Daphnia pulex: one gene and its partner. The protein of the gene in region 1 purifies or fractionates together with the protein of each later gene. This does not show direct contact. Links are inferred from orthologs where the notes say so. Each region holds a gene or a part of one and is shown on either strand. Other genes may lie near its edges. The genes, in order: serine/threonine-protein phosphatase 2A activator-like and serine/threonine-protein phosphatase 4 catalytic subunit.

Region 1 (3,568 bases):
TCTTTGAATGTCTAATTTGTTTTATTACATTAGCTTGGCAGGATTTGTGGTGGTGGTGGCTGAAGCACCCTGTTGCTGCATGTTTTTGGATTTTGTTCAAACTTTTACAAATTTTATTGATAGAAGACCTGTATGGCATAAGGCAGGCTTCTACATATTGTAAGTATATAGTAATGGTGTGTTGTTTGTCAGTAAAATCACCATATTTTCTTCTCTATTTCAGAATATCACTACCTGCAATGTTCCTTTGTGCTGGCTTGTCAACATTCCTTGGCAGTGCAATGTTGTTTGCAACTGGAGTTGTCTATGGTCTCATGGCTCTTGGGAAAAAGTAAAGATAGATTACATTGCTTAGTTATTTTATTATACTGATAATTTTTATTTTGTCCAGGGCTAGTCGAGGTGAAATGCTAAACCGTGCCCAAACAGATTTTTTGGCAACTAATCTGGTGAAGAACATGGAAGTCCCTATTCCCAACCAGTCAGTTCCCTAAGTAATTACGGCTAGATTTATAATGGTTTTATTTAACGTGATGAGAAAAATTGACGTGAGGACGCTATTTGAGTGTGAATTAGCTCGCTTAGTAACCCTTTATTAGTGTACTTCACGAAAGTGTCAAGCATGAAATGACTTGTTTGTCAGTTTGTTGTGGCACTAGCATTCCGATGTGTGTTTGATGTGAATACAGTTGTGTGCAAAACTCAAAGTTTCATTGTAATGGAAACAAGTAATTCTCTTAGCTAGCAAATAACTTAAGCTTTATTTGCCCATAATGTTCATTATTTAGTCATTTAAAAAAAAATCAATCCCGTTCTATACCAGAGCCCTCCCAACCTCTCTGGTTATCACAGTGGAAGCGTGACTAACCACGGACTGGGCCACAGAAAAGAAGGGAAGATGTACACTTATAATTTAAACTAATGTATCTCGAGTTAAATGTCTGTAGCAAATCACAACTCCAAGTCCCCGATTTTCGTTTAAAAGAACGTCGGTCATGACGAGACTGAATGGTGTCCGTAATTCTAATTATGACCTAAAATAGTAATTTAAATAGTTATTGCTACTAAAACAGGAATCCTCGAAATCGTCTCTAAAAACTAAAACATTAGAGGTAAGCGTTAGTGCAGATACATTTTTTAAATACTAGCTTTTAGACGAACACCTTGATATCTCTACAGAGAGCAAACTCATTTGCTGGTTCAATGTAAATAGTCCGGAAGTAGACTGGAAGTAAGCGATAGCTACTTTCAGCTTCAAAACAAAGTAGATATCCAATTATTCATGATCCCCGTGAAATTTGGGGTCGATATATTGCCATTTTGAATTTGTTTCAACCACGATAGGAGGTAACACAGGTTAGGCAATCGAAAAACAAAAGAAAATTTTTGCGTGTTATCTGGTCTTTTGGTGTGTTGTTTTGCTTTTTAAAAATGAAACCAAAAATCACAAACAGCCCTTTACCCTAGTTGGATCCTTGCTAATATAAGGAACGCAGGTTGCTGACGATTCAAAATCTCATTTTTCCTCAATCAAGTTTTTACTATTTACGCCAGGTGGCAGTGTTACATCACAACAGAAACCAGCTTAAGAAAACAAAAAATTATTCTTTTCGAAACAGCTCAAAATCACAAAGCTTTTTATCAGAAAATAATTATTACTTGGGTATATATTTGATAATAAATTATGGAGGTGTTGACGGCTCCGCGCAAAGAAATTTTCAATCCTGATGACATGTCAAAGTGGCTGAAATCAGAAGCGTATCAGGTTTGCCGGTTCAGTGTGCAGCATAAAATAACCGTTCTAAAAACTAACGTTTTAATTATTCATACAGGAATACATGGGATTCATTCTTGCCATTAACGAAGCTGTGCAAGGAAAGAAAGCGTCGAGTATCCAGTTGAACGACAGAATAGTGAAAGTGGTTGGTTTGCTGGATTGCCTGGATCGTTGGATTGATGAAATCCCCCCAACTGAACAGCCCCAGCGCTTTGGCAACAAATCATTCAGGGTGTGGTCTCAAAAACTCAAAGATGTAAGTTACCTGTTAGTAAGTTGAACATAATGAGGAAACACTGAACATGTTTTTTAAATAGGAATCCTCAAATATCCTTAAAGATATTTTACCTGAAGAGTTACACTACACAATTCCTGAAATAGAAGTCTATTTAACTGAATGTGTGGGAAATTCTACAAGAATTGATTATGGATCAGGACATGAAATGTCATTTGTCATTTTCTTGTACTGCCTTTTCAAAATTGGTTTCTTGACCCTTGGTGATCAAGCTGCTGCAGGGATTGTTGTATTTGATAGGTATCTGATTTTTTACCTTAAATCTGTTACAGTTGTGATAAATGGCAGTTTTTGTAACAGGTATATGTCGTTGGTTCGAAAACTGCAGTTAATTTATCGTATGGAACCAGCAGGTTCGCACGGAGTTTGGAGCTTAGACGACTATCAATTCGTCCCTTTTATTTGGGGAAGTTCTCAACTCATCGGTATCGTTACAATTTTTTAATAGCAAAAATATTTCAAAACTAAAAGTCAATCTTTTTGTAGAAAATCAGCGGTTGCCACCCAAATCTTTTCCTAATCAGGACATTGTCGAATGTTTTGCCAAAGACTACATGTTCCTTGGCTGTATCAAATTTATTTTCAAGGTGAAAAACGGGCCGTTTGCTGAACACTCGAACCAACTCTGGAACATCAGTGGGGTAGCAACTTGGTCGAAAGTAAATTCAGGTCTGATTAAAATGTACAAAGCAGAAGTTTTGGCCAAACACCCTGTCATGCAGCATGTTCTTTTTGGTTCTCTTTTACCAATTACGGAAGCAAATCTGCAGAAACAATAAACGAACAACACATTTGCATGAAACTACAAATATTCCTCTTGAAAAAAATTCATTTTTTAAATTTTGATTCTTCTTTACGTTCGTCTATAGTTTCATCAAATATAATTTCCAATTCCAAATGAAATTTAGTGTGTATATTGCTAATTGAAATAATTTAAAGGCTCGCGGACAAGGGATGTAAGGGGACTTTAAGGGCGGACAAGGGATGAATTGACAGGGCTCATGTGAATCGGTTCGGATGAGGCATCGGTGGAGGCTTGCTTCCAGCGGAGGAATGTAGTTCGCTCGTCATCAACCCCGAAAGTAGCGATGAAGATGTTGACAATGGTAACCGCAAAGATAAAAATAACGATCACGTCACCCATTATTTGCGCTACGTCTCTAGTCTCTTTTTTCTTGTAGTCGTAGCGGCTGATGAAAACGAGCAAAATACCAGCTATTATCTGTGAAACATTAAACGTCCAAATAATTCAACATTAGGTCTCTAATAAAGCCGTTATTCTTTTATAATCATCCAAGTGTATACACATACCTGAAGAGCGATGCTGATTGAAATGAGTACGATGTTCACTTGATGGTAGATATCCCAATAGGGAGATCGCATGACATACCTCAATTGACTGGCGTTGGCCGTCAGCAGTGCGATATCCATCATACCTTGTTAAATAAAAATAAAGATACGCCGAATATGGATACAATTCTCATTCGTCTAATTCT
Region 2 (4,493 bases), on another chromosome or scaffold:
TTGAAGACAACCATCGCGATTGGGGGCTGGACAGATTCTCACGACGGAACCACCAAATATTCGGACATGGTGGCCAGCTCGACTAACCGAAGGACTTTTGTCGATTCAGTCTTGGCATTTCTTGACAAGTATAAATTTGATGGACTGGACATCGATTGGGAATATCCGAGTAGTGCGTCCGACAAAGTTGGGCTTGCTGAATTAATGAAGGAACTTCGAGCCGCATTTAATTTACAGACACCGAAATATTCACTCACTATCGCTGTGGGAGTCAATAAAACCATTAGCGACCTCGGTCAGTATTAATCAATAGTGTATATGAAATAAAAAGGTTTTTTTAATACATTTTTTCAACGTTAGGATACGACATACCTGTGTTGGCCACGACAGCTGATTACATCAACATTATGGCTTATGATATGCACGGGCCATGGGAACCTTTAACTGACCATCACGCCCCGCTCTATAAAAGAGATTGGGATACAGATGAAACCAACAATATCGATGCTGTCGTCCAGTACTGGAAAGATAGCGGTATGCCGTCCTCAAAACTCATGCTGGGAATTCCCCTATACGGAAAGTCCTGGACACTCGATTATACTTACACGGAGGATCCCACGCTTCCGGCACCCGGTTTGGGACCTGGAGCTGCAGGACCTTTAACCGGTGAATCGGGAACGTTAGGATACAACGAAATCTGTAATTATGTGAAAAACGAAAATTGGGAGGTGGTGGTCGATCCGACATTCCAAATCGGTCCATACGCTTCCACTCCGAGCGTGCCAAAGACTTGGGTTGGTTACGACGATCCCGTCATGGCCAATGTCAAAAGTCGCTACGTTCTGGAGAGGGGACTAGGCGGAGCCATGGTTTGGGACATGAGTACCGACGACTTTAGGAACACTTGTGGTGATGGACCCAATCCTATTATGACCAACATTTCACGAACTGTTGGGGTGACGACATCGACTACGACGACTTCACCGGCGGCGACCACCAAGACTACTACAGCCAGCACCTCGACGACTACGGGTGAGACAACGACAACAACGCCAACAACACCCCGTCCATCCACTACCAAACTGTCCACTTGGCCAAGAGTCACGACGGAGTCGACACAGGCTACGAGTTCGAAAACGCCATTCATACCAAACAATGGGCACCGAATTGCTGGCAATAGTCAGCAACTTACATTTTTGGCTTTCGGGTTTATTTTAATTAATTTAGTTATCTAGGACGTTAGAATTCAAATTTAACAATTTTTAATCATTTCTAATATTTTAAATCTTATTACTATATATTCAAAATCTGATTGATTCGGCCCGCAATACACACGAGTGATAATTAAATGTTGTTAATTGATATACTCATTGAGTAAGCCAAGAGAACTCTTATTTTTTTGTTGCAAAATTGCGTTAAAAATGAATTAGAAATTTGACAACTCCAATGTCGATTGAGCGAGTGCCGAGTGGCATTGTCAAGTGTCGAAACAGGAAGTGTTTAAATAAGTAATGGGTTAACGGCTACATTGTAAAGACCAGATTTCCAAGGCTTGAATCAAGGTTGGTTGTATTATGAAAGTCTTTATTGCAAACAAGTAAACGACCGTCAGAAGATCTGTGTTTTGACTGAATCAGAAATGAGAAATCAGCCTGAACATGCCCGTCTCAAGCAATCGATTTTTTTTAATCCAAAGGAATTCTGAGAAATAAAATATCAATTGAATGTCAGCGTTAGTTAAGGTCCCGTTTGAATAAACGAAACCCATCGTGACCATGTTTTGGTAGCAAACATCGGGCTGAAGGCCGACTGACGTCAGAGAATATTTCAAAATTGATAAATAATGTATCGAAATATTTTTTTTACTAGCGTGCTAGCGATGTTATCTTTATTTGTAAATTTTTTTTCTTACTAATAATATTACCAGATATTTGTAAATCATTTTCAGAACAATATCGATATTTCAACAAAAAGGAATAAAAAGCGCGCTTGAAATTAAAACTGCGGAGAAACTTGGCAACGCCGAATAATTTAATGGCGTTTAGATTGAAGCCCAGTTTTTTTGTCCGGCAACGTAAGGCAAGCCAAGGAAGTAAGGATAGCTTTGAAGAACGACGAGGACGGATTCAATTCGTGGCTTAACTCTCGATCGTCAACTTATCCAGTCACGAATTCATTCTTCGCCATCACCACTCATATTTCATTAATAACGCAAAGAGGTAAAGCTTTTATCTTATTCTCGTTCTGTGTAATGTCAGTTTCCTCATTTACCAAGTCAATGTGTATGACATCACCGGTCGGCTGTTGCACATACTCAAGGTCGTTATTCTTTATTTCCCTCTCGTCAACTAGGAAACAGACAACGTAAATATGTCAGACTTTAGTGATTTGGATCGACAGATCGAACAACTCAGACGGTGTGATATCATTAAAGAATCAGAAGTCAAAGCCTTGTGTGCCAAAGCACGGGAGATTCTGGTTGAAGAAAGCAATGTTCAGCGTGTTGACTCTCCTGTCACAGTAGGTTTCTCATAAGCTTTTGATTATTGCTCAATAACTAACATTTTTTGCTTGCTTTAGGTTTGTGGTGATATCCATGGCCAGTTTTATGATTTAAAAGAACTTTTTAAAGTGGGTGGGGATGTTCCAGACACAAATTATCTATTCATGGGAGATTTTGTTGATCGAGGATTTTACAGTGTAGAGACCTTTCTTCTCCTATTAGCTTTAAAGGTAGTATACATTTTTGTTAAGCATTTCTTTCTCTTGTTTCTGATTTGAGATTTCTTTCTTAGGTTCGTTATCCAGATCGCATCACTTTGATTAGAGGGAACCATGAATCACGTCAAATTACCCAGGTTTATGGTTTCTATGACGAATGTTTTAGAAAGTATGGTTCAGTCACTGTGTGGCGCTATTGTACTGAAATTTTCGACTACCTGAGTCTTTCAGCCATCATTGACGGCAAAGTATGCTTCCAGTAGTAACATGCATTGATAAAAACTCTAACATGACATGTTTTTCAAATTTTAGATATTCTGTGTGCATGGTGGGCTATCTCCTTCAATTCAGACACTGGATCAAATCCGAATAATTGACAGAAAGCAGGAAGTTCCTCACGATGGACCTATGTGTGATCTCCTTTGGTCTGATCCTGAAGGTAGGAAAATAAATATTGGCTATACTTCTGAAAGTGGTAATTCATTTCTGGGTGTTTGCTTTTGACAGATACACAGCAAGGATGGGGAGTGAGTCCACGCGGTGCCGGTTATCTTTTTGGCTCCGATGTTGTGCAACATTTCAACACCTCAAATGACATCGAAATGATTTGCAGAGCACACCAGCTTGTCATGGAAGGCTACAAATGGCATTTTAACGAAACGGTGCTGACGGTGTGGTCTGCCCCCAACTACTGCTATAGGTTTGTCTTAATTTCCCGCCAGATTTCACCAAGATGATTACTTAAACTTTTAATATTGCAATAGGTGTGGAAATGTAGCTGCCATTTTGGAATTGGACGAAAATCTCCATCGAGAATTCACGATTTTTGAAGCTGCCCCTCAAGAGACTCGTGGCATTCCTTCCAAAAAACCTCAAGCCGATTATTTCCTATAAGAAACGCGAAATGTTGATCGTTGATATATCCCCTGCGATTTTTTACAAAAATAATTATTCGGTAATGCATAAAACAAAAAACACAAAAAAAAAACAGTAACTGATGTGAGATACCCCATCAGTTGAAACAGAGCAAAAGAGCCTGTATCATGTTGGTTGACCATTTACCTTGACCGCCCGGACTAACAAATAGGTTTTTGAAAATTCTGTTCTGTCCAATCCCTTCCTTTTTTTTGGTAAACACAGTCTTGTCCTTTATAATAAAAATATATCTTGATCGTCCAAACAAGTGTTCAGTTTCCCTTTTCAACTTTTTGCTGCAGGATATCACATCTGACTATAAGCTACTCCCACTACTCAGTTTAATGAACAATATCTTTGTGTACGTGCGGTTATGGTATGTTGGGGGCGAATTGTGTGACGTGTGTAATTATTTTTTAACATCAGTGCTAAATATTGATGCAATGGCCATGCTTCCAAAATCTTTTTTTTTTTGTTTGTGTTGCACCCATTTATATTATTATGAATGTGATGCTTGCGATGGCTCTCAACATGCACTGTATACAATTTCTTGAAATAACGATGGACTTGAGACGAAAACATGTTTAGTGTACCTGCATTAGTTTCGAAAACAAGGCTCGATGTTTACTTTCTCAACATTGAGTCATAACGGCTATTCATTTTTACGATCGTTTTTATTATCACCGCTGTCCCGAAACAACATTGCGTGATGAATCAGCTGATAAGGTAATATCGTTGTGACATTCGACTACCGTGTGCGGTTTTGTGATAAGGTTACGTACTATCACAAGGTAATCCACGTTTAATCAACTTTCCCTTTTGTTAATTAATGGTACTATTTGACAACAATCGATTGT

What was found.
Region 2: the proteins of serine/threonine-protein phosphatase 2A activator-like (region 1) and serine/threonine-protein phosphatase 4 catalytic subunit purify together in Homo sapiens (affinity purification with mass spectrometry; 3 studies listed by BioGRID and IntAct, with this or other methods). This does not show direct contact. The link is inferred for Daphnia pulex from reciprocal best matches to the Homo sapiens genes PTPA and PPP4C.

The regions. Positions count from the first base shown.
Region 1 is NC_060019.1:7,365,069-7,368,636, reverse strand, and holds serine/threonine-protein phosphatase 2A activator-like, read left to right. Parts: upstream 1-1,557; 5' UTR 1,558-1,684; coding exon 1,685-1,765; intron 1,766-1,832; coding exon 1,833-2,033; intron 2,034-2,094; coding exon 2,095-2,312; intron 2,313-2,372; coding exon 2,373-2,497; exon of another isoform or gene 2,498-2,558; coding exon 2,559-2,851; 3' UTR 2,852-2,881; downstream 2,882-3,568. Other genes in the region: calcium channel flower-like, read left to right, coding at 34-159, 224-331, 392-494; ninjurin-A-like, read right to left, coding at 3,040-3,294, 3,384-3,508. UniProt on the Homo sapiens protein: PPIases accelerate the folding of proteins. It catalyzes the cis-trans isomerization of proline imidic peptide bonds in oligopeptides. Acts as a regulatory subunit for serine/threonine-protein phosphatase 2A (PP2A).
Region 2 is NC_060025.1:1,447,551-1,452,043, reverse strand, and holds serine/threonine-protein phosphatase 4 catalytic subunit, read left to right. Parts: upstream 1-1,471; 5' UTR 1,472-1,562; intron 1,563-1,948; 5' UTR 1,949-2,219; intron 2,220-2,352; 5' UTR 2,353-2,370; coding exon 2,371-2,520; intron 2,521-2,580; coding exon 2,581-2,733; intron 2,734-2,795; coding exon 2,796-2,969; intron 2,970-3,033; coding exon 3,034-3,160; intron 3,161-3,228; coding exon 3,229-3,421; intron 3,422-3,485; coding exon 3,486-3,615; 3' UTR 3,616-4,215; downstream 4,216-4,493. Other genes in the region: probable chitinase 10, read left to right, coding at 1-295, 361-1,235. UniProt on the Homo sapiens protein: Protein phosphatase that is involved in many processes such as microtubule organization at centrosomes, maturation of spliceosomal snRNPs, apoptosis, DNA repair, tumor necrosis factor (TNF)-alpha signaling, activation of c-Jun N-terminal kinase MAPK8, regulation of histone acetylation, DNA damage checkpoint signaling, NF-kappa-B activation and cell migration.